Linked DNA regions of Macaca mulatta. The protein of the gene in region 1 interacts with the protein of each later gene in a pairwise test. Links are inferred from orthologs where the notes say so. Each region holds a gene or a part of one and is shown in the gene's direction. Other genes may lie near its edges.

Region 1 (3,500 bases):
TGCTGTGTCTTCAGCACCCAGATCAGTGCCTGGCATACAGTAGGTGCCCAACAAATGGTGAGGCGAATGAAGGAATGAGCCCGACATGCTCTAGAAAGGGAAAGGCCACCAGATTACTGAAACAGAGTGATCAAAGGGAAGAGGTGGCAGGGGCTAATTGCGTAGGGCTTTGCAGGCTGTTGAGGAGTTCAGTTTTACTAGGTACTGTGGGAGGCGTTGGAGGATCCAGAGCAGGGGAGAGACATGACCTCATCTATGTTTTAAGATGGGCTCTTGGGCTGGTCAGGTCAGGGAGATGTTTGCAAATTTGCAAATGCACTCTGCTTCACCTACTCTGCAGGAAAACTGACCTAGGAATTGCTTTATCTTACAAAAGGAGACCCTGCAGGTGCTGGCCCAACCCCAACCCGTGCCCCCTGCCCTGTGCTCTCTCCCCTCCAGGCCCCTGAGTGCCAGAGGTGGTGGTGTTGCTTATCTTCTGGAACCCCATGCAGCCAGATCCCAAGCCTAGCAGGGCTGGGGCCTGCAGCCGATTCCTGCCCCTGCGGTCACAGTGCCCTGAGGGGTCAGGGGACGCGGTGATGTATGCCTCCACTGAGTGCAAGGCGGAGGTGACGCCCTCCCAGCATGGCAACCGCACCTTCAGCTATACCCTGGAGGATCATACCAAACAGGCGTTCGGCATCATGAACGAGTTGCGGCTCAGCCAGCAGCTGTGTGACGTCACACTGCAGGTCAAGTACCAGGACGCGCCTGCCGCCCAGTTCATGGCCCACAAGGTGGTGCTAGCCTCATCCAGCCCCGTCTTCAAGGCCATGTTCACCAATGGGCTGCGGGAGCAGGGCATGGAGGTGGTGTCCATTGAGGGTATCCACCCCAAGGTCATGGAACGCCTCATCGAATTCGCCTACACGGCCTCCATCTCCATGGGCGAGAAGTGTGTCCTTCACGTCATGAACGGCGCTGTCATGTACCAGATCGACAGCGTTGTCCGTGCCTGCAGTGACTTCCTAGTGCAGCAGCTGGACCCCAGCAATGCCATCGGCATCGCCAACTTCGCCGAGCAGATTGGCTGTGTGGAGTTGCACCAGCGTGCCCGGGAGTATATCTACATGCATTTCGGGGAGGTGAGCGGGGAGGTGGGGCTGGGGGCAGTGTCAGGAGAAGGACCAGGGATGGATGAGTGCTCATCACTGTTTCCCCTTGAGATGTGAAGGCAGGAACCTGGAGGAAAAGGAGGTTCTGGGCTGGGCACGGTGGTGTAGTCCCCACAGTTTGGGGGGCCTAGGTGGGGGGATTGCTTGAAGCCAAAAGTTCAAGACCAACCCGGGCAACATAATGAGACCCTGTCTCTAAACAAACAAACAAATAAATAAAAAACAACTGGGGGCCGGGCGCGGTGGCTCAAGCCTGTAATCCCAGCACTTTGGGAGGCCGAGGCGGGCGGATCACCTGAGAATGGGAGTTTGAGACCAGACTGACCAACATGGAGAAACCCCGTCTCTACTACAAATACAAAAAAATTAGCCGGGTATGGTGGTGCATGCCTGTAATGTCAGCTAGTCAGGAGGCTGAGGCAGGAGAATCACTTGAACCCAGGAGGCGGAGGTTGCTGTGAGCCAAGATCGCACCGTTGCACTCCAGCCTGGGCAACGAGAGCGAAACTCAGTCTAAAAAAAAACAAAAAAAAAAACTGAGGCCAGCCGTGGTGGCTCACGCCTGTAATCCCAGCATTTTGGGAGGCTGAGGTGGGTGGATCAGCTGAGGTAAGGAGTTCAAGACCAGCCTGGCCAACATAGAGAAAACCCATCTCTACTAAAAATATAAAAATTCGCCAGGCCTGGTGGTGCGCGCCTGTAGTCCCAGCTGCTCAGGAGGCTGAGGCAGGAGAATCACTTGAACCCGAGAGGCGGAGGTTGCAGTGAGCCGAGATCAAGCCACTGCACTCCAGCCTGCGCGACAGAGCGAGACTCAGTTTCAAAAAAAAAAAAAAAAAAAATTAAAAAACAACTGGGGTTCTGAGTTCCTTGTCTACGCATGTGGGGACACTGGTGAACAGCTGGGGAAGGTGAGGTCTTCATGTGTCTCTGGGCTCCCTAGTTTCTCTGGGGTCAAAGGTGGGGACAGAGTGCAGTGAAAAGCAGCCAAATCCTGGGGCAGCCCAGCCTTTCGGACAGTCAGCAAATGTTTATTGGACACCCATTACAGGTTGCAAGCTGTAAGCCTGAACCTTAGTCATGTTTTCTTTGGTCCACGCAATGTCTTTACCATTTTTGGTTTCATTTTCGTTTCTCTGAAGGAAATTATCTATAGAAATTGATAAGAGAGGGCAGGGCCCGGTGGCTCATGCCTGTAATCCCAGCACTTTGGGAGGCTGAGGCGGGTGGATCACCTGAGGTCAGGAGTTTGAGACCAGCCTGACCCAATGTGTTGAAATCCCATCTCTATTAAAAATACAAAAAAAAGGCCAGGCGCGGTGGCTCAAGCCTGTAATCCCAGCACTTTGGGAGGCCGAGATGGGCGGATCACGAGGTCAGGAGATCGAGACCATCCTGGCTAACACAGTGAAACCCCGTCTCTACTAAAAAATACAAAAAACTAGCCGGGCGAGGTGGCGGGCGCCTGTAGTCCCAGCTACTCGGGAGGCTGAGGCAGGAGAATGGCGTAAACCTGGGAGGCGGAGCTTGCAGTGAGCCGAGATCCGGCCACTGCGCTCCAGCCTGGGCGACAGAGCAAGACTCTGTCTCAAAAAAAAAAAAAAAAAAAAAAAACAAAAAAAAAAACTAGCCAGATGTGGTGGCATATGTGGTGGCATAGTCCCTGCTACTTGAGAGGCTGAGACAGGAGAATCGCTTGAACCGGGGAGGTGGAGGTTGCAGTGAGCCGAGATTGCACCATTGCACTCCAGCCTGGGTGACAGAGCGAGACTCTGTCTCAAAAAAAAAAAAAGCCCTGGCACAGTGGCTCATGCCTATAATCCCAGCACTTTGGTGACGCCCCGCCTCTACTAAAAAACAAAAAATTAGCTGGGCGTAGTGGTGGGCGCCTGTAGTCCCAGCTACTCCAGCTACTCGGGAGACTGAGGCAGGAGAATGGTGTAAACCTGGGAGGCGGAGCTTGCGGTGAGCAGAGATTGCGCCACTGCACTCCAGCCTGGGCGACAGAGCGAGACTCCATCTCAAAAAAAAAAAAAAGATTTTAAGACCAGCCCTGGGTGCAGTGGCTCATGCCTATAATTCCAGCACTTTGGAAGGTGAGGGGAGTGGACCACTTGAGGTCAGGAGTTCTAGACCAGCCTGGCCAATGTGGTGAAACCCAGTCTCTACCATAAAAATATGAAAATTGGCTGTGCATGGTGGCACACACCTGTATCCCCAGCGACTCAGGAAGCTGAGGTGGGAAGATCGTTTGAGCCCAGGAGTTCAAGGCTGCAGTGAGCTATGATCGTGCACTCCAGCCTAGGTGACAGAGCCTGTCTCAAAAGCAAAAACAGTCCAGGT
Region 2 (4,298 bases), on another chromosome or scaffold:
CCTTACTCTTCAAACTGATCAAAACATGATATACAACACTGTACAGGCAGAACTCTAAGCCAGTTCCCCACATTCCTGGCCCCTAGAGAGCACACCTACATAATCCCCTCCCCGGAGTCTGGGTAGGAAAACTACAAATATGAGCAGATATCACTTCTGGGACTAGGTTCATCAAAAGGGAGATGTGACTGGGTCTGACTTAATCAGGTGAGCCTTTAAAAGGGGCTGGGGTCTCCCCGAAATCACAGAGATGGGAAGTGTGAGAAGGCTTGTGGAAGGGCTAGCTGACAAACATAGCTGGCCTCTGGCCAACAGCTGGCGAGACAAAATGGACCTCAGTCCAACAACCCCAAGGAAATTCCGCCAGAGGGCTTAGAAGGACCCCAAACCTCAGATGAGATCCCACTTGCAGACCCTTCGATTTCAACCTTGTGTGACTGAGCAAAGCAGTCAACAATGCCACGTCCAGACTTCTGACCTACAGGACTGAGAAAACGAATAGGTGTTGTTTTGAAGTCACTGATGTGTGGTAATTCGTTATGCAGCAAACGGAAAACTAACAACACTCAAGTATTTCTCTTATAATGTCTGGCAGATATGAGAGTTTTTCAGGCGTCGTTTTACAAATATCTTCCTAGCTGCTTTAAGAATAAACTTCTTTCAAAATGGACATGAACATTAATTGTGCAATATGTCCTTAATAATTCTCACCCTTTTCAATGAAAAGTCATTGAGTTTGGTGAGTCAAGATTCATTGAAAAATTCTTCAATGTTGATGGGCCTCTTTGGTGAGGTGACCTTATTCCTGTCCTGCCCCCTAAGGGTGGGCAGGGTGGACAGAACGCAGCCTGGACTTCCGGATGCAGCCCCCTACCGCCCGACTTGCCTACCCCGCTGGCCTCGGAGGGGTGGCCCTAAGCCCAGGACAGACGTGGACAAAGGGCAGAAAAAAGGATGCAGTTCTCTTTAATCCCTAACCCAATTTCTCGGGAAAAGCCGCGCTCCCACACAGAAGGCGAACCCTCTAAAGCTGTGGGTTGGCTGCTGTGCACGTAGTCGCTTTAGGAATTCCCAAAGCATCTAGCGGAAGTTTAGATCTTTCACTAGGGGTCACATGGGCCAGTACGGGCGCAGCTGGCAAACCGTTCCTTTCAGTTTGAAAGTATCTTTGAAACTCGGAAACTGTGCTCCTTGGTCTTTCAGTTCATAAGCCTAGAGAGCGGCTACTGAAATTGGAATCGACATCTTCTTCCCTCGGCCCCAACTAGTAAACCACGACCAGAAGACACAGCCTAACCTAAACCTACCGGAGTGTCACAACCGGCAAGCGCGAGCAGGTCCACCAACTCCGCCTGCGCAAACCGGCCGTTCCCGCGAGATCGCAGGAAGGCGGAGAGAAAGGGCAGGGCCCCGCCGCGTGGGGCGGGGCTTAGAGGCTCGTCGCGCCTGCGCAGAGGACCGGACAACGCGCTGCGTCGTTACTTTTGAAACGCTTGGCGGGGAAGTGCTGTGGGAGCCGCTGTGGTTGCTGTCCGCCGAGTGCAAGTGCGTGCCTTTGTTTGTGTCCCTGGCCATGGCGCTGCAGCTCTCCCGGGAGCAGGGAATCACCCTGCGCGGGAGCGCTGAAATCGTGGCCGAGTTCTTCTGTAAGTCCTCGCGCCGGCCATTATATTGGGGGGAACTGAGTCGTGGCGGCTCAGTAGGCCCACAGCTCGGCCTCTGAGACCGGAGAAGTAATCTGGGAGCGGCGGCTGCAGGCTGTTCCTCCTGACGCGTTGCTATAACGTGGAGCTGCAAGCCTGCGTGCTGCTGGGGCCTACCTCGCGGCGTAGCCTCTTCCGGAGCGTTTCTTCCTTTAAGTGCAGATCCGTCCCACCTCCCACCCCTTACTTTCCGATACAGGACACAGCGTGACTGGGGTGGGTCCCAGTGTGGGTGTGTATGTGTGTGTTTTTTTTAACTGCGAGAGCACCCTCACCCTCCCACTCTAAGTGATTATTAGGCATGAGGCTGGCGGTAAACAAGATTTTGGGAACCCTTGTTCTCGAACAGGCCAGCTGCACGTTGTAAAGGAACCTGGCAGGATTTGGGAGGGAAAGGGGAAGATACAGGCTTGTCTGGAGCAAAGTGACTATTCAGTCAGTTGCTGACTCGAATGCAACAGCCTATTTTGACATCCTCTAGCCTCATAATCTGAATTTGGACTTGGATTACAATGAGGTGAAATTTGGCAATAGTAGGTTGATACACTTTGGCTTTTTTTTTCCTTGGCACGTGAAAACAATTATCTTTTTTTACTTAGATACAAGACTTTTAAGGATTTTTAATGCCACTTTGTACCTACTCTGCTTTCAGCAAGATACACGTGTGTTCAGTCATTTATAGCTGTATAGCCTAATGAAAATATAGCCACATCCAAATATATTTTATTTTCCAGAGTTATGCAGTGATAATGAATTTTCTGTAACATTTCTTTTGCTTGCAGCATTCGGCATCAACAGCATTTTATATCAGCGTGGCATATATCCATCTGAAACTTTTACTCGAGTGCAGAAATACGGACTCACCTTGCTTGTAACTACTGATCTTGAGCTCATAAAATACCTAAATAATGTGGTGGAACAACTAAAAGGTATTTAATCATTGGAAATAATTTGAGTCTTGCAGATTTTTTAGCATCTCAAGTGGTCATTTTTCCGCTCTGCAAATAGAAGTGTACTCACATCTCAAATATATTTTAAGTTGAGAGGAAGCAAATAATATATAAAATGGAAGAAATTCACTCTTCCCCCACTACATTGTGAGTGGGCTGAATATTTTGATGTAAGAAATCTGATATGGCTGAAAAATAGTCTTCATCAACTCCCTTAGAAGTGGCTTTCGCAGTTAATGTGGCCAAATGGAACAGGTTGGAATTTTACATAATTATAATGGTGTTCACTATCTGAGAAAATATACACTACATATTCTCAATATAATGTATTTTCTGTAACTAATTAGTTTTCTGTAGTCTAATGTTATCATTAGATTAATATCAAGGAAATTGGATTCAACCAGATAAACTTCAAAAAAAGAAAAAGATTAGCTGCTAAATGACAGAACACTCACAGTTTTTTTGTTTGTTTGTTTTGTTTTTCACATATTTCTGTTTGTCGTTTTCAAAAATTCTGCCGGTGATTCAGTAAGCCTTTTCTGTCTGAACGTTCGTTTTTCTTTAGTTCGAGAAATTGCTGTATTACCTGTCGGGTGAATACTTGTTCTTCATCTATTTCTTTTTCCTTTCTAGAATTCCTGTTAGTTTCTCTTTCTTGTTACCCTCCACTTAGGATTCTCATTTCTAATTTTTCAAATGTTTCTCCCATTTGATCTTCTAAAATTTTTGAAAGTACTACAGTGGGCATCTTTTTTTTTTTTTTTTTTTTTTTTAGAAATTATTTCTTTTGTTGTTGACCAGAAATGTGTCTTTGTTTTGCCGTTTTTATTGCATTTTTACTAACCTATTTTTAATATGCCCTTCCGATAATGGCCATGTGAACTTTTTTAGCTTGATAACTCTCTTTCAACCTATACTATCCTCTAGATAAACTGTTAACATTGCCTTGCCTTTTATGTGTACAGGAGTGGAATGCCTCAACAACCTGTGGATGTTACGTCTTAAATTGACAGGCAAGGGAAGATAGCCCTGTTGACATTTTGGCCTGGATATTTCTTTGGTGTGGGTGCTTTTCTGTGTGTTATAGAATGTTTACCAACATCTATGGCCTTTACTAACCAAATGCCAGTAACAAACCACCTTGCTCTGACAACCAAAAGTGTCTCCATAAATTATATTGCCAGATGTGCCCAAGGGGACAAAATTGCCCTTAGTTGAGAACTGCTGCTGTAGTAGATTGGTATTGTCAAAATAGCAAGATGAGACCTCTTTTGGTGTGGGAATAGACCTCTGTTCTCAAGTGTACACAGGAAAGACATTGATAGGAGTGTCCACCTCTCCCAGAGTTGCATCCAAAATTGGGGGTCAGGAATAAATCATCTGTAGTGATTCATAGGGCTGCACTCAGATCATTTGGCCTGGAACCTCTAGGCAACTATGGATGTGTGTTTCCATCTTAATTTGCTAGAGAAGCAAGCATTGCCTAAGCCAATGGTTTTTAGGTTGTCTTCTTTGAGACTGCATTGAAGCCAATGGTTTTTAGGTTGTCTCCTTTGAGACTGCATTGATGACACTTCACGTTATGTGTGTCTAGACCTTCCTATTTAACTTCTCCCTTTTATTTTAGTTAAAGTGGAAAAATTGC
Region 3 (4,300 bases), on another chromosome or scaffold:
CACTCCCCACCCCCTGGCTGTGACTGCTGTAAGATGGGGGTATAGAGGCTGGGCAATTCCCACCCCCTGTTGTATAGTTGGACTATGTTATAACGCACAAAAGAGAGCTGACCCCAGGGGGAGCCAGAGGGTGATGGGTTCCTTGCCTCCCTTTCCTTCCCCTTTCTGCCCAAGCTTGTGCTGCAGTTTAACCTCTTCCTGGGGGTGGGGGTAGGTAAGGGGTGGGTGACACCCCAAACCCCTCTCTGGTAGGGAACCGTGGGGATGAAGATGAAGCTTATATGCAGTTCTCTTCTAGGGGCTGTGGGCAAAGGGCATTTTGTAATTAATATTTTCAAGAATCCGATGTCTGGAGTGTAGGGGTGGGCTTGGTGGTGGTGGACGGGCGGGCCTGCTGGAGGGGGAGCTTGGTGGCTGTTGTGATTTTAGGTTTGTTTTTGTTTTGTTTTGAATTTGGGGAGTTGTGGATTGTTGGGGGTAGGGAGATTTTTTTTTTTTTTTTTTTTTTAAAGCTGCTTCCTCAACTGTTTCAAGCTGCAAATGTTTAAGAGAATAACACCCCCCACTCCCACAGGAACCGCTGTAATTAAATCAGACAGCAGGAAGACTGGGCTGCAGCCCTCAAAGCCACAGCCCTTGATGTTCCTTTTCGGAGAGCAATAGGTCTAGGCTACAGGGAGGGGGAGATTGGCTCCCGTGAGTCAGGCTGTGTTTGGGGCTTGGGCCCTGGGATTGGGAAAAGGGGATGGGGCAGACTTTGTAAGCATATGCTAGGTATCCGATAGTCCTGTAGAATTTAGTGAAGAAACCTTATACAGTTTTTAATTTTTATATAAACTATAACTCAGACCCAAGCTACAAGGTTGGAATTTTGGTTGGTTTTTTTTTAAGTACCCTGCCTGTATAATTGCATCAGAATCCCCCACCCCCCCGTGTTTGTATTTTGGGTTGGTTTACACTCGCACATACTCAATTTTCAGTTTTCCCCTTTACAGTCTTCTCCCCTCACCTCCAGGACCCTCCCCCTTTTTAAAAAATAAATCGCTGACAAGTGTGAATCCCGTGAAGACTTTATTTTGTGTTGTGTGTATCCTGTACAGCAAGGTTGGTCCTTCGTAACAACGGATGAAATGGTTCCCTTTTTTAAAGCGCCCTCTCTCCCTCCACCCTCAGCGCCCCTGTCCTTGGCATGTTTTGTATCAGCGATCATTCTGAACTGTACATAATTTATGTTGCGAGAGGCAAAGGGCAAGTTTTGGATTTTGCTTCTTCCAAGTTTGTTTTTAAACGACAAATAAAAAAAGAACATTTTAAATACAAGCGGCTCCGTCCCGTGACCCTCGCCGTCAGCCGGATCCGTGCGGTCCGAGAGGACCCGGGGGAGGGCGGTTACCGAGGCCCGCCACCGCCGGAAGGGTGGGTTCCACGCCTTCCGCCGTAGTCTGGCGACTGCCGTGACGTGGGCGGAAGTGGCGTCGCCGCACCGGATGTGGGGCGTGGCCTTCCCCAAGAGAGTTTCCTAAAGCGAGAAAACCAAGCCGGCGCCTCTTGCAATGGAGACGGTGAGGAGCGCAGGAGGGCGGTCGGGGGCGCTGTAGAGCCTAAGACCCCGCTTAGGAGACCGGGAGGGCCGGGCAGGGGCTGGCGCTGGTGTCTAGCAAACAAAAAGCAGCCGGGTGTCTGCCCTATCCCGTGACCGTGTCCCTCCGCTTCTTCGTTGGGCGCATCTCCTGGGACTGGGCCGCGCCCCCGCCGCCTTTCCGTACGCGGTACCCTTAGCCCAAGCAGGCAGTGACTCCTGGCCCTCCTTGGAGCCCACGTAAGCCGTGGCAATCTTGGGCTTCCTTTCCTCTTAGCACCTCAAGCCCTTTTAGAGGTTTGAGAGCGCGGGGTTGTGATGCGGCTTTGCTGGGTGAGGCAGGGGGTGTCCAGAGGGATCTCCGCTTGCAGGTAGCTGCTGGACCTCGGTAGTCTTTCTGTGATCCCTGCAATCCCTGGCAGGAGGACATCTGAAGATCTTTATACTGCATCCAGTGAAGTCACATTCCCTTAATAAGACCGAGAATTGAGGTTTGCTTGAAAGAGGAAAACTTGCAGTGTTAGAGGCCGATGTGTCCCTGGACAAGTTTAGGTCATGGCCCGCTCTGCGACTCTAAGCAGGAGTTTTGGCACAGCGCATTCTTGGCGAGCAGGCATTGACCAGTTGTGGCAGGGCCCTGTCACCCTCCCACAGATGCCGCGGGTTGCCTGCTGCATGTTTGCACCCACCCTCACTCTCAGGAGTCTTTTTCTAGCGCTCTGTAACCCCTCCCATACACTTCCCTCTCCACAGTTTTTAACCATGTGTCTTCTTTCAGGCAGAGTAACTCTTCCCATCTTGGTTTTTATCATTTGCTACTGTAGTTATGAAAGGACTGCAGGTTCACTTTGCTTTGGATTACATGCCCATAGTAATTCTTTGCCACACCCTTTCTCTGCCCACAGAGAGGTTGTTTCTTTCAGGTTTTTGAAAAGAAAACCGACCAAAGTACTAAAACGATTCGCAGTTGGTCTCCCAGGCAAGGGAGCCAGTTCTGACTAATCAAGATAATCTTGAACAAAAATAAGGAGTCTAATTCCATTAAATTTAAAATAACATGTCATATTCTACTTACTTGTGAGTGTAGTATGGTTTACAGAGCATTTTTATGTAGATTTTCTAATTTAGCCTTCACACTTTATGTACTGGATTAGGCTCTGGGGTAGAAGTTAAAAAGAGGAAAAAGAAAACAGCCAGGTGTGGTGGCTCATGCCTGTAATGCCAGTACTTTGGGAGGCTAAGGCAAGTGGATTGCTTGAGCTCAGGAGTTCAGCACCAGTCTGGGCAACGTGATGAAACCCTGTCTTGACAAAAACAAAAACACAAAAATTACCCAGGCATGATGGTGGTGGTGCATACCTGTAGTCCCAGCTACTCTGGAGGCTCAGGTGGGAGGATTGCTTGATCCAGGGAGGTGGAGGCTGTAGTTAGCTGAGATCATGCCACTGCACTCCACTCTGAGTGACACAACGAGATCCTGTCTCCAGAAAAAAGAAAAAGAAAACTCCTGCTTTGAAAATGTTCAGCCTAACTGGAGTAAGGGTGAGGGCAAGCCAGCAACAGCTGTTATTTAAAGGTAGACTATAATAAATGCTATCATTAATATGAAAACAAAGGACTGTGACAGAATAGTTGAGAGAAAAATTACTTTGGACCTAGGAGAGGGCACTGCAAATTGAGAGAACAGTATGAGCAAGGGCACTGAAACTGGGGGATGTGGAGAATTGGGGGTGAGCCAGCGGCTTGGTGTTGCTGGCTTTGGATTTTGGTCACAGTGAGAGAAAAGACTGGAAAAGTAGGCTAAGATCAGGTTGAAGGTATTACACACCATGCTAAATTTGAACTTTGTTTTGTAATAGGGGACCCATGGAAGATTTATGAGCAAGTCAGTGAATGTCTTTTAGGAATGTTCATAGCAGCTTTCTGTACATGGACTGAGCTACTTCGGAAAGTAAAGTTTCTTGTTAATGGAGATGAAAGCCCCTTCCAAACCTGAGATGCTTTGGTGAAAGCACGAAAGACAAATTGAAAAGCAGAGAGATATGGGCCAAGGACCCCAATTTAAACAGTCTTGCAGAAGTGAGAGGTAAAAGCCTAAATTAAGGCTGTAAAATTGGCAATGAGAGAGATATAGATCTGAGGCATTTATAACATTACCAGCTTAGCTGATAACTGGTAAGAAGACAGCTGTATAAAACAGAAAAAACAAGATGGGAACTACAGCAAGAATAATAGGATTGGAGGGACAAATGTTTTGTTTCGTATTGAAGCATTTGAGGAGTCTCTGTGACATCTATGGTTGTCAAACAAATAATTGGAAACGTAGATCAGAAGTTTGGAAGAAATTGCGAGTCTGTTTGTCAGATGTAGACTGTGTCTCTGTAATATTTTGTACTTACGTGGTACAGTTGTACTTTCTCAGGTCCCCTATGTTATTAAAAGTAGAAAGGAGGCCAGGCACAGTGGCTTATGCCTGTAATCCCAGAACTTTGGGAGGCCAAGGTGGGCGGATCACTTGAGCCCAGGAGCTCAAGACCAGCCTCGTCAACATAGCGAGACCCCATCTCTACAAAAAAATACAAAAAGTAGCTGGGCTTAGTGGTGTGTGCCTGTAGTCCCAGCAGCCCAGGAGGCAGAAGTCAAAGGATTGCTTGAGCTGGGGAAGTTGAAGATACAGTGATCTGTAATCATGCCACTGCACTCCAGCCTGGATGACAGAGT
Region 4 (3,500 bases), on another chromosome or scaffold:
GGGCAACCCTACGCACGCGCGCTCTGGTGTAGTTCCCTGGAGCACTCGCGCAGAGAATCCTGGAATCTTCGCTTGTGGAGCTGTGGAGGCAACGGAGTTTTTCCGCGCTTTTTCTTTCAGCCTCAGATTAAGTATCATTTGTTATTATTATTTTCTCTACTGAGCGCGGAAAGCTGACTGAAAATTCCAGACTGTAATTTCTGTGGGGCTGTTTCTCTAAAACTTGGCCCTCACGCAGCTTGTACAGCCATTAGATAGGCGCTTACTCCCAACTGGTGGAAGATTCGAATTAGCTGCGCCTCTCTTGCCTGAGCGAGGGCTCAGCTTTAAAGCTTCCCAGCTCCTCTGCTTCGCCTCTGCCCCGGACGTAAAATAGGCCTCTTAACGTGGCTGCCAGGTGACATACCTGAGGAAACTCACTGAGCGGGGCTACTGGGATAAAGGTGTCCAAGTGTTCCTTTCTGTCGACCCGGAGGGCCAAGGCACCTTTTTTTTTTTTTTTTTTTTTTCTCTGAGGTGGAGTCTCGCTCTGTCGCCGGCTGGAGTGCAATGGCGCGATCTCGGCTCACTGCAACCTCCGCCTCCCGGGTTCAAACGATTCTCCTGCCTTAGCCTCCTAAATAGTTGGGACTATAGGCGCACGCCACCACGCCAGGCTAAATTTTTGTATTTTTGGTAGAGACGGGGTTTCACCATGTTAGTCAGGCTGGTGTTGAACTCTTGACCTCGTGATCCGTCTGCCTCGGCCTCCCACAGTGCTGGGATTATACAGGGGTGAGCCACTGCGCCCGGCCTATATATTGGTTTTGAGACAGATTCTTGCTCTGTCGCCCAGGCTGGAGTGCAGTGGCGCGATCTCTGTTCACTGCGACCTCTGCCTCCCGGATTCAAGTGATTCTCCTGCCTCGGCCTCCCTAGTAGCTGCGACTACAGGCTTGAGCCACCACGCCTGGCTAATTTTTGTATTTTTAATAGAGACTGGGTTTCCCCATGTTGGCCAGGCTGGTCTCGAACTCCTGACCTGCCTGCCTTGGCCTCCCAAAGTGCTGGGATTACAGGCGTGAGCCACTGCCCATGGCCCACATATATATTATTTTTGACTTTAGCAAGATCTGTAACCACCTTTGTCTTTACCTTTATCCTTAAAGTGTTTTTAGAAAACCGGACAAACAAGGAGCACAATTAATATTATTGAGTAACTGAAATCAATATATCAATTATACTAAATACAAGGAATATAATAAAATGTGCAGTATTTTATAATAAAAACATGCATGTTATATTTATTTTTTACTTATTTATTTTATTTTTATTGCAATTTAACTTACTTGGCCTTTTTATTTACCCCTTATTAGGACTCTCTTCAGCTTCTGGAGACCTCACTATCCTATTATGTCTTTGTGTGAAGACATGCTGCTTTGTAATTATCGAAAGTGTCGCATCAAACTCTCTGGCTATGCATGGGTCACTGCCTGCTCTCACATCTTCTGTGATCAGCATGGCAGTGGTGAGTTTAGTCGCTCACCAGCTATCTGTCCTGCCTGCAACAGTACCCTTTCTGGAAAGCTAGATATTGTCCGCACAGAACTCAGTCCATCAGAGGAATATAAAGCTATGGTATTGGCAGGACTGCGACCAGAGATCGTGTTGGACATTAGCTCCCGAGCACTGGCCTTCTGGACATATCAGGTTAGTGCTTAGTCTAGTTTCTCTTGAACATATAATTTCAGGCATTTGTGGGAGCTTCTAGTGTCTTTTCTTCATTATTTTATATTTATTTTTTATGAGTATATGAGAAACTGTCTTATTAGCTTGTTTTGTTTTCAATAATGTTTATTGTTGAAAATCAAAAGGAAGAAAATTAAAGCACTCATAATTCCATCACTCAGATATAACCATTGTTGATATTTTGGGTACACACACATGCGCGCGCACACACACACACACACTCTGTCTTCTGTATAAAAGTAAGATAATAACACACTGTTTTATTGTCAGAGTTGACAACATATATCTGGTATGTATTTTTCTTTCTTTTGAGATGGGGTTTTCTTGTGTTGCCCAGGCTAGTCTCTAACTCCTGGGTTCAAGCCATTCTTCTGCCTCAGCCTCCTGAGTAGCCTATGCTCCACTGGGTGTGAATATCTTGTTAAATATTTTTTAGTTAACTATTCTATAATCATATTTTAATGGTTATATTGTTTTTAGCATAATTTATTTCCAAGTTATTAAAATACTATGATAAGCATTCTTATCAAATAACACATCCTTAACTTCTTCCCTTTATGATTTCTACTTTAGTATTTCCTTTGAAAGACCTCCCTGTGGATAACTTTAAGCATGTCCTTGAATGTATTGTTATATCTTACATATACTCTTATACTTATTAAGGATGTTTGTCATCTGTTAAGTAACTTTTTATTATATTTTTCTGGGTAAGTTGTTTCTCTTACATGCTCCTGTATTTTTCAACTCCTTTGGTTAAATACCAAATAGTGTTTTTGCTGGCTTATGTGGTAAGAGTATGTTTATTTTTGTAAGCAACTGCCAAATTGTCTTCCAAAGTGGCTGTACCGTTTTATATTGCCAGCAGCAATGAGTGAGAACCTGTTGCTCCACATCTTTGCCAGAAGTTGGTATTGTCCATGTTCTGGATCTTGGCCATTTTAATAGGTGTATAGTGGTATCTCATTTTAATTTCCATGTCTCTGATGACATACGATGTGGAGCATCTTTTCATATGCTTTTTTGCCTTTTTTTTTTGGTGAGGTGTATATGAAGTTTTTGGTCTATTTTTAAATTTTTTTAATTGTTGAGTTTTAAGTGTTCTTTGTATCCTTACTGCGTTTGAAGTATTCTTTGATCCTTTCTCAGAGCTATCTTTTGCAAATATACTCTCCTGATCCGTGACTTGTCATTTCATTCTCTTACAGGGTCTTTCACAGAGCAGAGATTTTTAACTTGAATGAAGTCCTGCTTATCAATTTTCTCTTTCATGGATTATACCTTTGGTATATTTTAAAAGTCACTGCCAAATCCAAGATAATCTAGATTTTATCCTATGTTATCTTCTGGGAGTTTTATAGTTTTGCATTTTACATTTAAGTCTGTAAACCATTTTGAGTTTATTTTTGCAAAAAGCGTAAGATCTGTCTAGATTCATTGGGTCCTCAATTTTTTTCTGGCTATTCACCAGAGACTCTTAGTTACTTGCCTCTTGGGCCTTCCTGACATGGCTGCTTGCCTCCTCAAAGCCAGCAAGGGAGTGTGTCTCGTAGTAAGACAGACCTTATAGTCTTAGGTAATATACTTACGAAGTGACAACCTGTCACATTTTATGTAGTATTGTAGTCACAGGTCCTGCCCACATGCAAGGGGATAGGGAGTTACACAAGGGTGTATGTACCAGGAGACAATGATAATTTGGGGTTGTCTTAGAGTCTGTTCTTCATGCTCTGGATGACTTGAAAAATGGGATTATATTTCTTAAAAACCTTTGG
Region 5 (4,264 bases), on another chromosome or scaffold:
GCTGGGCAAGACGCTTTATGTTGATTTCACACACTCTTAAAGGGTCCCAGGCCGCAGTCTGAAAACCCCTGCTCCTGAGTAAGTTGGTTTCCCTAGAGACCAGGAAGCGGAGGTAGTTCCGTCGTTTGTTTACACGGTAAGGAGCTTCCAGATTATTCCGAGGACCTGGCTATGAGTTTAGGCAGGAGGAGGCCCAATCATGGGAGGCGCCAGAGAGGAAGAGGACATGGACGAGGCATGGGAGCCAAGTCTAAGGAACCCCAACACCTCTAAGGTTCTCATAGCTGGCCTTGACCAAAATATCTGAAAATTCTCATGTAGAAACTGGTTCTTCCAGCCTGAGCAACATGGTGAAACCCCAACTATACAAATAAATACAAAAACTAGCCGGGTGTGGTGTCCGCGCTTGTGGTCCTCCGCCCGCGCTCGTCCCAGTTACTCGGAAAGCTGAAGTAGGAGGATCACCTGAGCCCGGGAGGTCGAAGCTGCGGTGAGCCAAGATTGTGCCACAGCACCCCAGCCTGGGCGACAGAGGGACAGCCTGTCCAAAAACAAAAAAACACCAAACCTGTCTTTTAGGGAAGGTTAATCACCAAAATGTCAAGTGTTAGATACTTAATTTGGAGACCTCAAATCGATCGGCAAAACGATGGGCTTTTAAAAAGCATGCCGGGTGTAGCTGGGTAAGCATGAATTTATTCACCAAGGGCCCGATTCCCAAGCTAAGGGACCCTGAAGTGTGAAGGACATGGCTTCCGGGGAACCCAAAGGTAGGGAGCGCTCCTGAGCCAGCAGTGGGTCTGGAGACTCCCCGAGCGCGCAGGCCGCGGGACGGCGTCCCCTGCGCGCAGCAGCTAGAAGCCAACAGCCCAAAGGCCCCCAGGGAGCAGAGCCCCGCGATCCCGGCGCCGCCTGCGGCTGGATTTTTTGGCAGCGGGCGCGCCGTCCGTGAGGATGACGGCTCCGGTAGTCTCCCGGGCGTGCGAGACCCGGGGCGCTCCCCGTCCACGCACGGCCCTCCCTCCAGGCGCGCCTCCCGCCCCAGCCCCGCATTCTGCGCAGCCCGGGTGACCAAACTACACCTCACTTCAAAGGCCCCCACGCCCGGGCGTGCCCTCCGCCCGCGCTCGGCAGGTGGGAGTGCAGGGAGGAGGGCGCGGGCGGCCCCAGAAGGCGCCCGGACCTTCCCGAGAATTCCAGGCCGCGCAGGCGCATTGAGGTCGGCGCGGGGGCGTGCGAGAGGCGCGGGGCGGTGATTGAGGGAAGGTTTCCCGGGCTGGGCCATGAGCAGGGCCTGCGCGCGCCAGCGGGAGGGGCGGGCCACGGCGAGGGCGCAGGCGCAGGCGCGCGGCCGCGGCGGCGGTTGGGGAGGGTTCTTCCGGAAGGTTCGGGAGGCTTCTGGAAAAAGCGCCGCGCGCTGGGCGGGCCCGTCGCTATATAAGGCAGGCGCGGGGGCGGCGCGTCAGTTGCTTCAGCGTCTTGGTGCTGCTGTGCCGTGGAACGTTTGCAGCCTTTTAGCCAAGGTGTGAGGGGCGGTTGTGGGGGCCTGTGGAGGTGGATTGGGGAGTGGGGGCGGTTGGCGCGGAGCGGAGGCTGTGGGGGCCGAACGGGAGCCCTGAACCCGCCAGGGCCGCTCTCCCGGGAGGCCGCGCTGCCTATTCCGGAGGCCGTGGGCCCGCTGCTGTCTCCGCAGCCCGCCTCAGGAATGGGCTGGGCGGCTGCTCCCCGAGTCTCCGCGGCAGCCCCGGAGCTGGCGCCGCACGCGAGCAGAGCGGCCCTTTGGCTGGGGGCCCCCCGGGCGGCCCAGCTGGGGCGCAGGCGGAGGAGGCCGCCCTGGCGGAGCCGCGGCCCGCGCGGGAGGGCACACGGGGTGTCGGTTGGGGACCGCGGCGCGGGACTGGGCCGGGCCTGCAGTGGCCTCCCGGAAGCGCGCACACGCTCGTGGTAGTTACCGCGCTCCGAAATGAGGTCATCCTTTGTCAGCCGCCCTTCTATTTTCGGTTTACTTAAACTTCGCAAATCTGCAATCCGGCTTTAAAAATATTGGGAGGACGCGATGGAATCTCGTGTTGCCCCTGTAGACGCCCTGCAGGGTTTTAAACCGGCGCGGTGTCGTTCCAGATGCCTGAGGAAACGCAGACCCAGGACCAACCGATGGAGGAGGAGGAGGTTGAGACGTTCGCCTTTCAGGCAGAAATTGCCCAGTTGATGTCATTGATTATCAATACTTTTTATTCGAACAAAGAGATCTTTCTAAGAGAGCTAATTTCAAATTCATCAGATGTAAGTCGTTTATTAACCCAGAATAGGATTTTGGTTTCAATATGAACTTCTTGGGGGCTGTATGCTTAATTAATATTTTGTGTTAATAGGCATTGGACAAAATCCGCTATGAGAGCTTGACGGATCCCAGTAAATTAGACTCTGGGAAAGAGCTGCATATTAACCTGATACCAAATAAACAAGATCGAACCCTCACTATTGTGGATACTGGAATTGGGATGACCAAGGCTGACTTGATCAATAACCTTGGTACTATCGCCAAGTCTGGGACCAAAGCGTTCATGGAAGCTTTGCAGGCTGGTGCAGATATCTCCATGATTGGCCAGTTCGGTGTTGGTTTTTATTCTGCTTATTTGGTTGCTGAGAAAGTAACTGTGATCACCAAACATAACGATGATGAGCAGTACGCCTGGGAGTCCTCAGCAGGGGGATCATTTACAGTGAGGACAGACACAGGTAGGTACCTGAACACTCACTGGTTAAGTCAGTGGCGGAATGGTGGGGTGTTGCAACCCTTGGACCCCTGGGGATGCGGCGAAGTTCACAGAAAGTGTGTTTACCCAAGGATCAGGAACAAGCTAGAGCTCTGAATTAGTGTGTAATGGCATGACTTGGTGATTACTTCTTTTGGGCAAGGCACTTAGATCTGCTGTGGGAGCCTTTGCATCTGTAGTAAGGGCAAACCTCGCTTCATAGACACGTTATAAGGGTTAAGCATGGCGTTGAGCACTAAATTGAATGTATTATTGAGTCAATTTTCCTTATTTCTCTTGCAGGTGAACCTATGGGTCGTGGAACAAAGGTTATCCTACACCTGAAAGAAGACCAAACTGAGTACTTGGAGGAACGAAGAATAAAGGAGATTGTGAAGAAACATTCTCAGTTTATTGGATATCCCATTACTCTTTTTGTAAGTTTCTACATAATTGCAGAGTGAATTACTGTCTGTAGGTGACTGGGGTGACTGTACTACATCCTTAGTTCCTAGGTCTGTTGAACTAGTTTGAAGCCTGGGGAACCTAAGCTCTACTAACTGTGAAGGTTCCTCGGGTTATTAAGTAGATATATCAAATATTGATGAGAAGCTGCCTGGCTGCTTCTCATCCTCGGTAATTTAGGCTTTGGCCTTAGGTTGAAAGTAGTGGGGCAGCGCTATGACTTAGTTCTAGAGTGCAGCAGTGATGCGATTTCATGTCTTTTGAAGGTGGAGAAGGAACGTGATAAAGAAGTCAGCGATGATGAGGCTGAAGAAAAAGAAGACAAAGAAGAAGAAAAAGAAAAAGAAGAGAAAGAGTCTGAAGACAAACCTGAAATTGAAGATGTTGGTTCTGATGAGGAAGAAGAAGAAAAGAAGGATGGTGACAAGAAGAAGAAAAAGAAGATTAAGGAGAAGTACATCGATCAAGAAGAACTCAACAAAACAAAGCCCATCTGGACCAGAAATCCCGACGATATTACTAATGAGGAGTATGGAGAATTCTACAAGAGCTTGACCAATGACTGGGAAGATCACTTGGCAGTGAAGGTGAGTGAGGGACTGATGGATGCTTCAAGCTTGTCTTTAGATTATCATCCCACCACCCCAAATATCTGCTATAATGCATTGTTCATTGATACTTAGTGTGTTTGTTCTATTACAGCATTTTTCAGTTGAAGGGCAGTTGGAATTCAGAGCCCTTCTATTTGTCCCACGACGTGCTCCTTTTGACCTGTTTGAAAACAGAAAGAAAAAGAACAACATCAAATTGTATGTACGCAGAGTTTTCATCATGGATAACTGTGAGGAGCTAATCCCTGAATATCTGAGTAAGTATAGATAGGAAAAATAATCACTGTCACTGATTAAAGAAATACTTCTGGCTGGGCATGGTGGCTCACACCTGTAATCCTAGCAGTTTGGGAACCCGGGGTGTGCGGATCACTTGAGGTCAGGAGTTCAAGACAAGCCTGGCCAACATGGTGAAACTCCATCTCTCCTGAA
Region 6 (4,169 bases), about 2.0 Mb from region 1:
GACCTTTCTAGGCTGATATCACCACGGGGGCGTCATGGGCTGAGGATTCTGCAGATAGGACATCACCACGGCAGAGATGGACAGCCTGAGACAGGAGAGAGGTGTCAGTCCAGGATGGGCAGGCTGGAGTCCCCCCACCCCTTACTCAAGAGTCACTCGTTCTCTCGGCCAAGTCTCACATGAAGCTACTCATCATTTGCTTCGTGTCCTCCGAGCTCCGAGAGTTGGCAAAGCTGATGAAGGAGCAGTAGACAGCGACCCAAGCACACCACTTCAGCTGGGGAAAGGTAGGTGGGTGGGCAGGTCAGTGAAAGGCACAACAATGAGTCCCGAAGCCACCTTTCCAGACACCAGTTCATGCCCACTGATTCCATCTGATGCAGCTGGGACCTTGCCCCCCGGAACTCCTCAGTCCCACCTGCTCATGGCATACTCCAGATACATGGTTTCTAGTCCTACTGCCTGGACTGCGTCTCTCAGGGCCAAGACTCTGACATCCCACATGCTTAAGACCCTGCCCCTTTCCACGAGTCCCCTCCAAGTTGCTTCAAAGCCTGGCCCCACCCGCAGACCAATCTGCCACATCCCCGCCCTGACCCGAATTCTTGACTTCACCAAAGACTGGGGCTTTCTTGGCCCAGCGTCATCCCAGCCCCACTCCCGGCCGATCTCAGGTCCTGCCTCATCAGCAATGACAAGACGCCCGGCTTCATTCCAAACCCGCCCCCGGGCCTCGTTCTCAGGTCCAACTACACCCACAGAAGCTCAATCCCGCCCACCTTAAGCATGAGGCCGCACATGCTGAAGATCATGCCCAGCAGGTTCATGTAGTCCGGCGTCGGGTCGTCCAAGGCCGGGTTACATTCGCTGGGCGGGGGCTTGTACCTGCGACAGGCTCGAGGGTCAGGGGCGCTCAGGTCCTGTCCCCGGGATAGACAGACGCTTCCCAGGGCCCCGATCCACACCCCCAACCCGAACCCGTGGCCACGACGCTGGCGTCCTCACCTAAGCACTTTGTTCGGCCTCCGTGGGTCCGACATATTGTTAGTAGACATAGCGACTCGAAGGCCAGGTCACGCCTCTTCCGCTGCAGAAATTGCAGCTTCCGGCGTGCAAGCTGAGGGCGGATTTTAGAGTCACACCCGAGGCCCTCACATTTCCGTTCCTCATGACAGAGACTTGGACTCCTCCTACCCAGAGATCGGAAATTTAGGAGAATCCAGAAGCCTTCCTTGCAAAGGGGAAATGGGGAAAAGAACCTGAAATCGGGCTTCAATAGTTCCAACAAGAGCACCCAAATGCCAAAATGATGAACCCGGAAGTGATAAACAGGAAGTAGTTCAGGAAGAACAATAATAAGGTTACACCCAAGCGTGGGTTTCGAAGGCGCGGAATCTTCCATACAGATCGATTTAAGGCGGCGAGGAAGGGGTCCTGGGACTATGGCTTTCCCTGAGCCAAAGCCGCGGCCTCCGGAGCTGCCGCAGAAACGGTTGAAGACGCTGGACTGCGGGCAAGGGGCGGTGCGAGCCGTACGATTTAATGGTGAGCGCCTTAGTATTCATTCCGGGTCCTCCTCCCGCCTCCTGAGGTCGGCGGCCCAGTAACCCCCGCCTGGTGTTCCCCAGTGGATGGCAATTACTGCCTGACGTGCGGCAGTGACAAGACCCTGAAGCTATGGAACCCGCTTCGGGGGACGCTGCTGCGGACGTACAGCGGCCACGGCTACGAGGTGCTGGATGCGGCCGGGTGAGCCGGGGGCCAGGCTGGGATGGGAGCGCTGAGGCTGGGATCCGAGGTCGATGCTGATCTTCCTCCTCCTTTACTCCAGCTCCTTTGACAACAGCAGTCTCTGCTCCGGCGGCGGGGACAAGGCGGTGGTTCTGTGGGATGTGGCATCAGGACAGGTCGTGCGCAAATTCCGGGGCCATGCAGGGGTGAGTGAAAGCCTGGAGACCCTCATTCGAGCGGAGGGGACCCGTATTAGCGCACAGGTGGTGATGAAGCCACCCCCATTACACCGTAAGGATCCCTTCCCCAGATGACGATCCCCCGCTCCGCATGCCAGGCTAGGCAGTCACCAACCCCTGTCCTTGCTGTTCCCCCAAAACCTTTCACCTCCCCTTCTAACCTTTGCCCTTGCTTTAACCGACACTGGGAACCCTGCCTTTATCCCAGTCCTCCAAAGTCCAGCCTCCTCTGAGTGGCAATAACTTTCTCAGAAGGTGAACACGGTGCAGTTTAATGAAGAGGCCACAGTTATCCTGTCCGGTGAGTCTGGGACCTACGCAGGGGGGTCCAGGATGCTGCCCTTCCCCTCCAAACCTGACCTCACCATCATGCTGGCCTCACAGGCTCTATTGATTCCAGTATCCGCTGTTGGGATTGCCGCTCACGGAGGCCTGAGCCAGTGCAAACGCTGGATGAGGCCAGAGATGGCGTGTCCAGTGTGAAGGTGTCAGACCACGAGGTCCTGACAGGGTGAGTGGAGCCAGGACCTGGTCTCAGCCGAGGTGCTACTGGGAATCATAGCTGCCCCCATGCTCAGATTAAAACCTACTCTCAGCTGGGCACAGTGGCACACAGCTGTAGTCTCAGCTACTTGGGAGGCTGAGGTGGAAGGATCACTTGAGCCCAAGAGTTTGAGGGACCACTGCACTCCATGCTGGGTGAAAGTGAGACTGTCTAAAAAATAAAATAATAATCAAGCCGGGCATGGTGGCTCACACCTATAATCCCAGCACTTTTGGAGGCCGAGGAGGGCAGATCACTTGAGGTCAGGAGTTTGAGACCAGCCTGGCCAACATAGTGAAATCCCGTCTCTACTAAAAATAAAAAAATTAGCCGGGTGTGGTGATGGGAGCCTGTAATCCCAGCTACTTGGGAGGCTGAGGCAGGAGAATCACCTGAACCCGGGAGTTGGAGGTTGCAATGAGCCGAGATTGTGCCACTGCACTCCAGCCTGGGCAACAGAGTGAGACTCCGTCTCAAAAAAAAAAAAAAGATAAAATGAAACGATTTAAAAAGTTAAATAAAAATAGACCGGGTGTGGTGGCTCACGCCTGTAATCCCAGCACTTTGGGAGGCTGAGGCAGGCGGATCCTGAGGTCAGGAGATCGAGACCATTCTGGCTAACACGCTGAAACCCTGTCTCTACTAAAAATTCAAAAAATTAGCTGGGCGTAGTGGCAGGTGCCTGTAGTCCCAGCTACTTGGGATGCTGAGGCAGGAGAATGGCGTGAACCCGGGAGGCAGAGCTTGCTGTGAGCCAAGATTGCACCGCTACACTCCAGCCTGGGCATCAGAGCGAGACTTCGTCTCAAAAATAAATAAACAAAACAAATTTAAAAAAATAATCATAAGGAAATTTTTTTTTTTTTTTTTTTTTTTTTTTTTTTTAAGATAGAGTCTGTGTCGCCAGGCTGGAGTACAGCGACGTGATCTTGGCTCACTGCAACCTCCAGCTCCCGGGTTCAGGCAATTATCCTGCCTCAGCCTCCTGAGTAGCTGGGACTACAGGCATACGCCACCACGCCTGGCTAATTTTTGTATTTTTAGTAGAGACGGGGTTTCACCATGTTGGCCAGGAGGGTCTCCATCTCTTGACCTTGTGATCCGCCTGCCTCGGCCTCCTAAAGTGCTGGATTTACAGGCGTGAGCCACCGCGCCCGGCCGAAATAATATATTTTCTATTCATTAAGTGGAAGTGAAGAGATCATCATAAAGATCTTCACATTGAGAAGGCGGAGGAGAAGGAGGAGGAGGGGTTGGTCTTGGTGTCTCAGGGCTGATAGAGGCAGAAGAAAATCCACATATAAGTGGACTGCTTCAGTTCAAACCCTGTTGTTCATGGATCAACTGTACTTTGAAAAGTGCTCCCTCTGGTGGCTGTGGGGGTGCAGGGAGACCAGAGCAGTCTAGATGATGGTGCTGGGTAGTGGGGAAAGTGGTGGGACTGAGTACTGAGGAGGAGGAGCTGGAGAATACAGAAGAGGGAATTGGGCCAGGTGGGGTGGCTCATGTCTGTAATCCCAGCACTTTGGGAGGCTAAGGCGGGCGGATCACCTGAGGTTGGGAGTTCAACACCAGCCTGACCAACATGGAGAAACCCTGTCTCTACTAAAAATACAAAATTAGCAGGGCATGGTGGCGCATGCCTGTAATCCCAT
Region 7 (3,500 bases), on another chromosome or scaffold:
TTGGCTAATTTTTTGTATTTTTTTAGTGGAGACAGAGTTTTGCCATGTTGGCCAGGCTTGTCCCAAACTCCTGGCCTCAAGTGATCTGCTCGCTTCAGCCTCCCAAAGTGTGTGTGTGTGTGTGTGTGTGTGTGTGTGTGTATTTTTTTTTTTTTAATTTTTGTGGGTACATAGTAGGTGTATGTGGGGTACATGAGATGTTTTGATACAGGCATGCGATGTGAGCTATCACACTATGGAAAATAGAGTACCCATTTCCTCGAGTGTGTGTCCATTGTGTTACAAGCAGTCCAGTTATACTCTTTGAGTTATTGCACTCAGTTTTCACATAACAAATTGTAAACTTTTTAGTAGCAAAACTGTAAGAACTCATTTTCTCCCTTTCCCCATGAAACTTTTGAGTGACAAAGCTGCCATAAGATGAACTTGAACGGTGGAAAGGAAACCTCATTAGAGTGACCTAAATCAGTCAACAGTAGAACAATCACGAATTCACAGCTGGCTCCTAGTTCAGTCTCTTGCCTTTCATCAACCTAGGAAAAACCTCTACAGTGGAATTAGAACTGACATTTGTCGACAGTTTACAATAGATGATTTTTGCTAACTTGATGGGAAGTCCATTTATAGTTGGATCTTGGTCGACTACATAGACAATCCAGACTGTTTTTCTCTTCACTACCACACTGTACTTACAGCAGATGGTTCTTCAGGGAGCCTCTTAGCCACTGAAACCACTTACCTGTATCTGGTTGGATGAAAGCAGATTTTGAATCTTGTTGATTTAAACAGTGCCAGGTACCCATGTTGTCTGGCTTTTGCTCACTTACTGAGTTAGCCTTATTGGCTTTTTTCCAAACCTTAACTCCTTTTCTAAGATACTGTTTAATCTTGCTAACTTTGTACATTTTAGCTTTAACTGAGAGGGTTATATCCCGTTTATCAGGGTAATTATATATTCTAATAAGGGATAAGCCTGTTCCCTGATAAGCAGATTTATTGAAAACTTCAATCTACCTAACAGGTCATTTTGATAAGGCTGTATTATTAATGTGCAATATTCATATTCAAGGCCTATTTTTTTCTCTTTTTTTTTCTGAGATTGATTTTTGCTCTGTTGCCCAGGCTGGAGTACAGTGGCACGATCTCGGCTCCTTGCACCTTCCACCTCCTGAATTCAAGTGATTCTCCTGCCTCAGCCTCCAGACTAGCTGGGATTACAAGTGTGCACCACCACGCCCAGCTAATTTTTGTATTTTTAGTAGACAAGATTTCACTATGTTGGCTAGGCTGGTCTGAAACTCCTGACCTCAAGTGATCCACCCACCTTGGCCTCTCAGAGTGCCATTGCAGGGATGAGCCGCCACTCCCAGCCACAATATTCATATCTTAATGCTAACTATCTAGCATGGTTTTGTTAAAGATGGATTTTTAGTTGATCCATCTGCTTTCTAGTCAGTTATTGAAGGGGCTGTTTTCCTAAAATGGAATGGTAAGGCCAGGTTTTGTGGCTCACACCCATGTAATCCCAGCACTTTGGGAGGCCAAACAGGAGGATCAGTTTATAAAAATAAAACGGAATGGGTAACAGTTTCTTACTTCCAAAGAGATTGTCCTCTGGCAGTTAGAGATCTACTAAGTGTGTAGTATTCCAATTCCATTGTGAGAACTCTTATCTATGTATGTCCCAGGACTGTTTCAATATTTTCTCTTTGGGAAGGCATAAATAATGGGGATATAAAGTTAACATATAAGGAAGGTTTTCCTCATAAAACTCTGAATCACTAGCTGTACTACCTTTAAAGGCATGCTGGCTCATGCCTGTAACGCCAGCACTTTGGGAGGCTAAGACAGAAGGATCATTTGAGTCCAAGACTTCGAGGCTGCAGTGAGCTATCATGGCCACTGCACTCCACCCTGGCCACCAAAGTGAGACCGTCTCAAAAAAAAGAAAAAAAGGAACAAGTTAAAGTTTTTTTGTATTTTGAAACAGGGTCTCTGGATCTATCACCCAGGCTGGAGTACAGTGGCACAGTCTTGGCTCACTGTCAACCTACACCTCCCTGACTGAAGCCATTCCAAGTAGCTGGTAGGCACGTGTCACCACGGCCACCTAATTTTTGTTTTTTTTTTTTGTAGAGACAGTGTTTTGCTGTGTTGCCCAGGCCAGTCTCAAACTCCTGAGCTCAGCCTCCCAAAGTGCTGGGATTACATGTGTGAGCCACCACACCCAGCTCAGAACTCTGTATTACAAAACTGAAACTATATCCGTTGAGCAGTAATTCCTTGTTCCCCCTTTTTTCCAGCCCCTGGCAACCACCATTTGACTTTTTGTCTCTGATTTTGATTACGCCGGGTACCTCATATAAGTGGAATCATGCAGTATTTGTCCTTTTTTTGACAGGGTTATTTCACTTAGCATGTATTCAAGTTTCATCCCTATTGTAGCATGTTTCAAATTTTTCTTTCTTTTTGAGATTGAGTAGTATTAACTGCTGTGTGTAATATTGCTATAAACATGGGCATACAGATATCTTTGTGCTTTTATATTTACATGCCCATGTCAAATATGTTGAAAAGCTTCACATAGATACCATCCGTTATTTCCTTATTGGGTTCAGATTTGTCCATAAGAGTTACATGATTATAACTGAAGTCTATAAATTATTCCATAGAATGGTTTTTCCACAGTGCTAATAACATGGTGAGTGGAGTGAAAGGGCTTGTATATGTCCTTTCTCAGAGTTTTTTTGACCTTAGCAAAGCTTTGGGATTCACCATGTGGTACTTGTGTTTGCTTTTCAGGCTCTTACAGCACTACTTTCAGATGATAGCAAGTTTGGATTCATTGTAATAGATGGTAGTGGTGCACTTTTTGGCACACTCCAAGGAAACACAAGAGAAGTCCTGCACAAATTCACTGTGGATCTCCCAAAGAAACACGGTAATACAGGAGGAGAACATGAACCCACTTACTTTGTGTCTAGCAATAAGAAAACAGTATGATGGGCCGGGTGCGGTGGCTCATGTCTGTAATCCCAGCACTTTGGGAGGCCGAGCCGGGTGGATCACGAAGTCAGAAGTTCGAGACCAGCCCAGCCAAGATGGTGAAACCCTGTCTCTACTAAAAATACAAAAATATGACGGGTGCTTATAATTCCAGCTACTTGGGAGGCTGAGGCAGGAGGATTGCTTGAACCCGGGAGATGGAGGTTGCATTGAGCTGTGATTGTGCCACTGCACTCCAGCCTGGGCGACAGAGCAAGACTCTGTCTCAAAAAAGAAAAAAAGAGAAAACAGTATGATGTGAGGGGAGTGAATCCAGATGATAGGGAGAGAAGCCTCCCGGAATGACGGGTGCCTCACTGGTGCTTATGGCTCTTCTCTTGACATAGAATTAGTAGTCGCTCTCTGAAAACAAGTAGCAGTTTATGCTAAACGTTTAGTTAAGGGAATGGTGATTTTTCTTTGTCCTTTTCTTGGATGATGACATGATTATTTTA

Evidence for each region.
Region 2: the proteins of KEAP1 (region 1) and MAD2L1 interact in binary tests that used the Homo sapiens proteins (3 or more experiments, as listed by UniProt). The two-hybrid records come from large-scale screens. The link is inferred for Macaca mulatta from reciprocal best matches to the Homo sapiens genes KEAP1 and MAD2L1.
Region 3: the proteins of KEAP1 (region 1) and PRKAG1 interact in binary tests that used the Homo sapiens proteins (3 or more experiments, as listed by UniProt). The two-hybrid records come from large-scale screens. The link is inferred for Macaca mulatta from reciprocal best matches to the Homo sapiens genes KEAP1 and PRKAG1.
Region 4: the proteins of KEAP1 (region 1) and CCNB1IP1 interact in binary tests that used the Homo sapiens proteins (3 or more experiments, as listed by UniProt). The two-hybrid records come from large-scale screens. The link is inferred for Macaca mulatta from reciprocal best matches to the Homo sapiens genes KEAP1 and CCNB1IP1.
Region 5: the proteins of KEAP1 (region 1) and HSP90AA1 interact in a two-hybrid assay, tested with the Homo sapiens proteins (2 studies listed by BioGRID). The link is inferred for Macaca mulatta from reciprocal best matches to the Homo sapiens genes KEAP1 and HSP90AA1.
Region 6: the proteins of KEAP1 (region 1) and WDR83 interact in binary tests that used the Homo sapiens proteins (3 or more experiments, as listed by UniProt). The two-hybrid records come from large-scale screens. The link is inferred for Macaca mulatta from reciprocal best matches to the Homo sapiens genes KEAP1 and WDR83.
Region 7: the proteins of KEAP1 (region 1) and ETF1 interact in binary tests that used the Homo sapiens proteins (3 or more experiments, as listed by UniProt). The two-hybrid records come from large-scale screens. The link is inferred for Macaca mulatta from reciprocal best matches to the Homo sapiens genes KEAP1 and ETF1.

What each region holds. Positions count from the first base shown.
Region 1 is NC_133424.1:11,220,694-11,224,193, reverse strand, and holds part of KEAP1 (kelch-like ECH-associated protein 1), read left to right. Parts: exon of another isoform or gene 1-441; 5' UTR 442-488; coding exon 489-1,127; exon of another isoform or gene 1,128-1,295; intron 1,296-3,500. UniProt on the Homo sapiens protein: Substrate-specific adapter of a BCR (BTB-CUL3-RBX1) E3 ubiquitin ligase complex that regulates the response to oxidative stress by targeting NFE2L2/NRF2 for ubiquitination.
Region 2 is NC_133410.1:128,906,774-128,911,071, reverse strand, and holds the start of MAD2L1 (mitotic spindle assembly checkpoint protein MAD2A), read left to right. Parts: upstream 1-1,498; 5' UTR 1,499-1,573; coding exon 1,574-1,646; intron 1,647-2,485; coding exon 2,486-2,632; intron 2,633-4,298. UniProt on the Homo sapiens protein: Component of the spindle-assembly checkpoint that prevents the onset of anaphase until all chromosomes are properly aligned at the metaphase plate.
Region 3 is NC_133416.1:56,182,775-56,187,074, reverse strand, and holds the start of PRKAG1 (5'-AMP-activated protein kinase subunit gamma-1), read left to right. Parts: upstream 1-1,500; 5' UTR 1,501-1,553; coding exon 1,554-1,562; exon of another isoform or gene 1,563-2,048; intron 2,049-2,938; exon of another isoform or gene 2,939-3,058; intron 3,059-4,300. UniProt on the Homo sapiens protein: AMP/ATP-binding subunit of AMP-activated protein kinase (AMPK), an energy sensor protein kinase that plays a key role in regulating cellular energy metabolism.
Region 4 is NC_133412.1:93,119,324-93,122,823, reverse strand, and holds part of CCNB1IP1 (E3 ubiquitin-protein ligase CCNB1IP1), read left to right. Parts: coding exon 1-131; intron 132-1,355; coding exon 1,356-1,689; intron 1,690-3,500. UniProt on the Homo sapiens protein: Ubiquitin E3 ligase that acts as a limiting factor for crossing-over during meiosis: required during zygonema to limit the colocalization of RNF212 with MutS-gamma-associated recombination sites and thereby establish early differentiation of crossover and non-crossover sites.
Region 5 is NC_133412.1:175,437,709-175,441,972, reverse strand, and holds the start of HSP90AA1 (heat shock protein HSP 90-alpha), read left to right. Parts: upstream 1-1,464; 5' UTR 1,465-1,523; intron 1,524-2,121; coding exon 2,122-2,283; intron 2,284-2,372; coding exon 2,373-2,739; intron 2,740-3,059; coding exon 3,060-3,193; intron 3,194-3,487; coding exon 3,488-3,808; intron 3,809-3,923; coding exon 3,924-4,089; intron 4,090-4,264. UniProt on the Homo sapiens protein: Molecular chaperone that promotes the maturation, structural maintenance and proper regulation of specific target proteins involved for instance in cell cycle control and signal transduction.
Region 6 is NC_133424.1:13,219,518-13,223,686, forward strand, and holds the start of WDR83 (WD repeat domain-containing protein 83), read left to right. Parts: upstream 1-1,369; 5' UTR 1,370-1,442; coding exon 1,443-1,545; intron 1,546-1,628; coding exon 1,629-1,749; intron 1,750-1,831; coding exon 1,832-1,937; intron 1,938-2,222; coding exon 2,223-2,271; exon of another isoform or gene 2,272-2,272; intron 2,273-2,354; coding exon 2,355-2,481; intron 2,482-4,169. Other genes in the region: WDR83OS (PAT complex subunit Asterix), read right to left, coding at 19-85, 180-277, 780-885, 1,006-1,055. UniProt on the Homo sapiens protein: Molecular scaffold protein for various multimeric protein complexes. Acts as a module in the assembly of a multicomponent scaffold for the ERK pathway, linking ERK responses to specific agonists.
Region 7 is NC_133411.1:147,383,511-147,387,010, reverse strand, and holds part of ETF1 (eukaryotic peptide chain release factor subunit 1), read left to right. Parts: intron 1-2,802; coding exon 2,803-2,941; coding exon of another isoform or gene 2,942-2,976; intron 2,977-3,500. UniProt on the Homo sapiens protein: Component of the eRF1-eRF3-GTP ternary complex, a ternary complex that mediates translation termination in response to the termination codons. The eRF1-eRF3-GTP complex binds to a stop codon in the ribosomal A-site.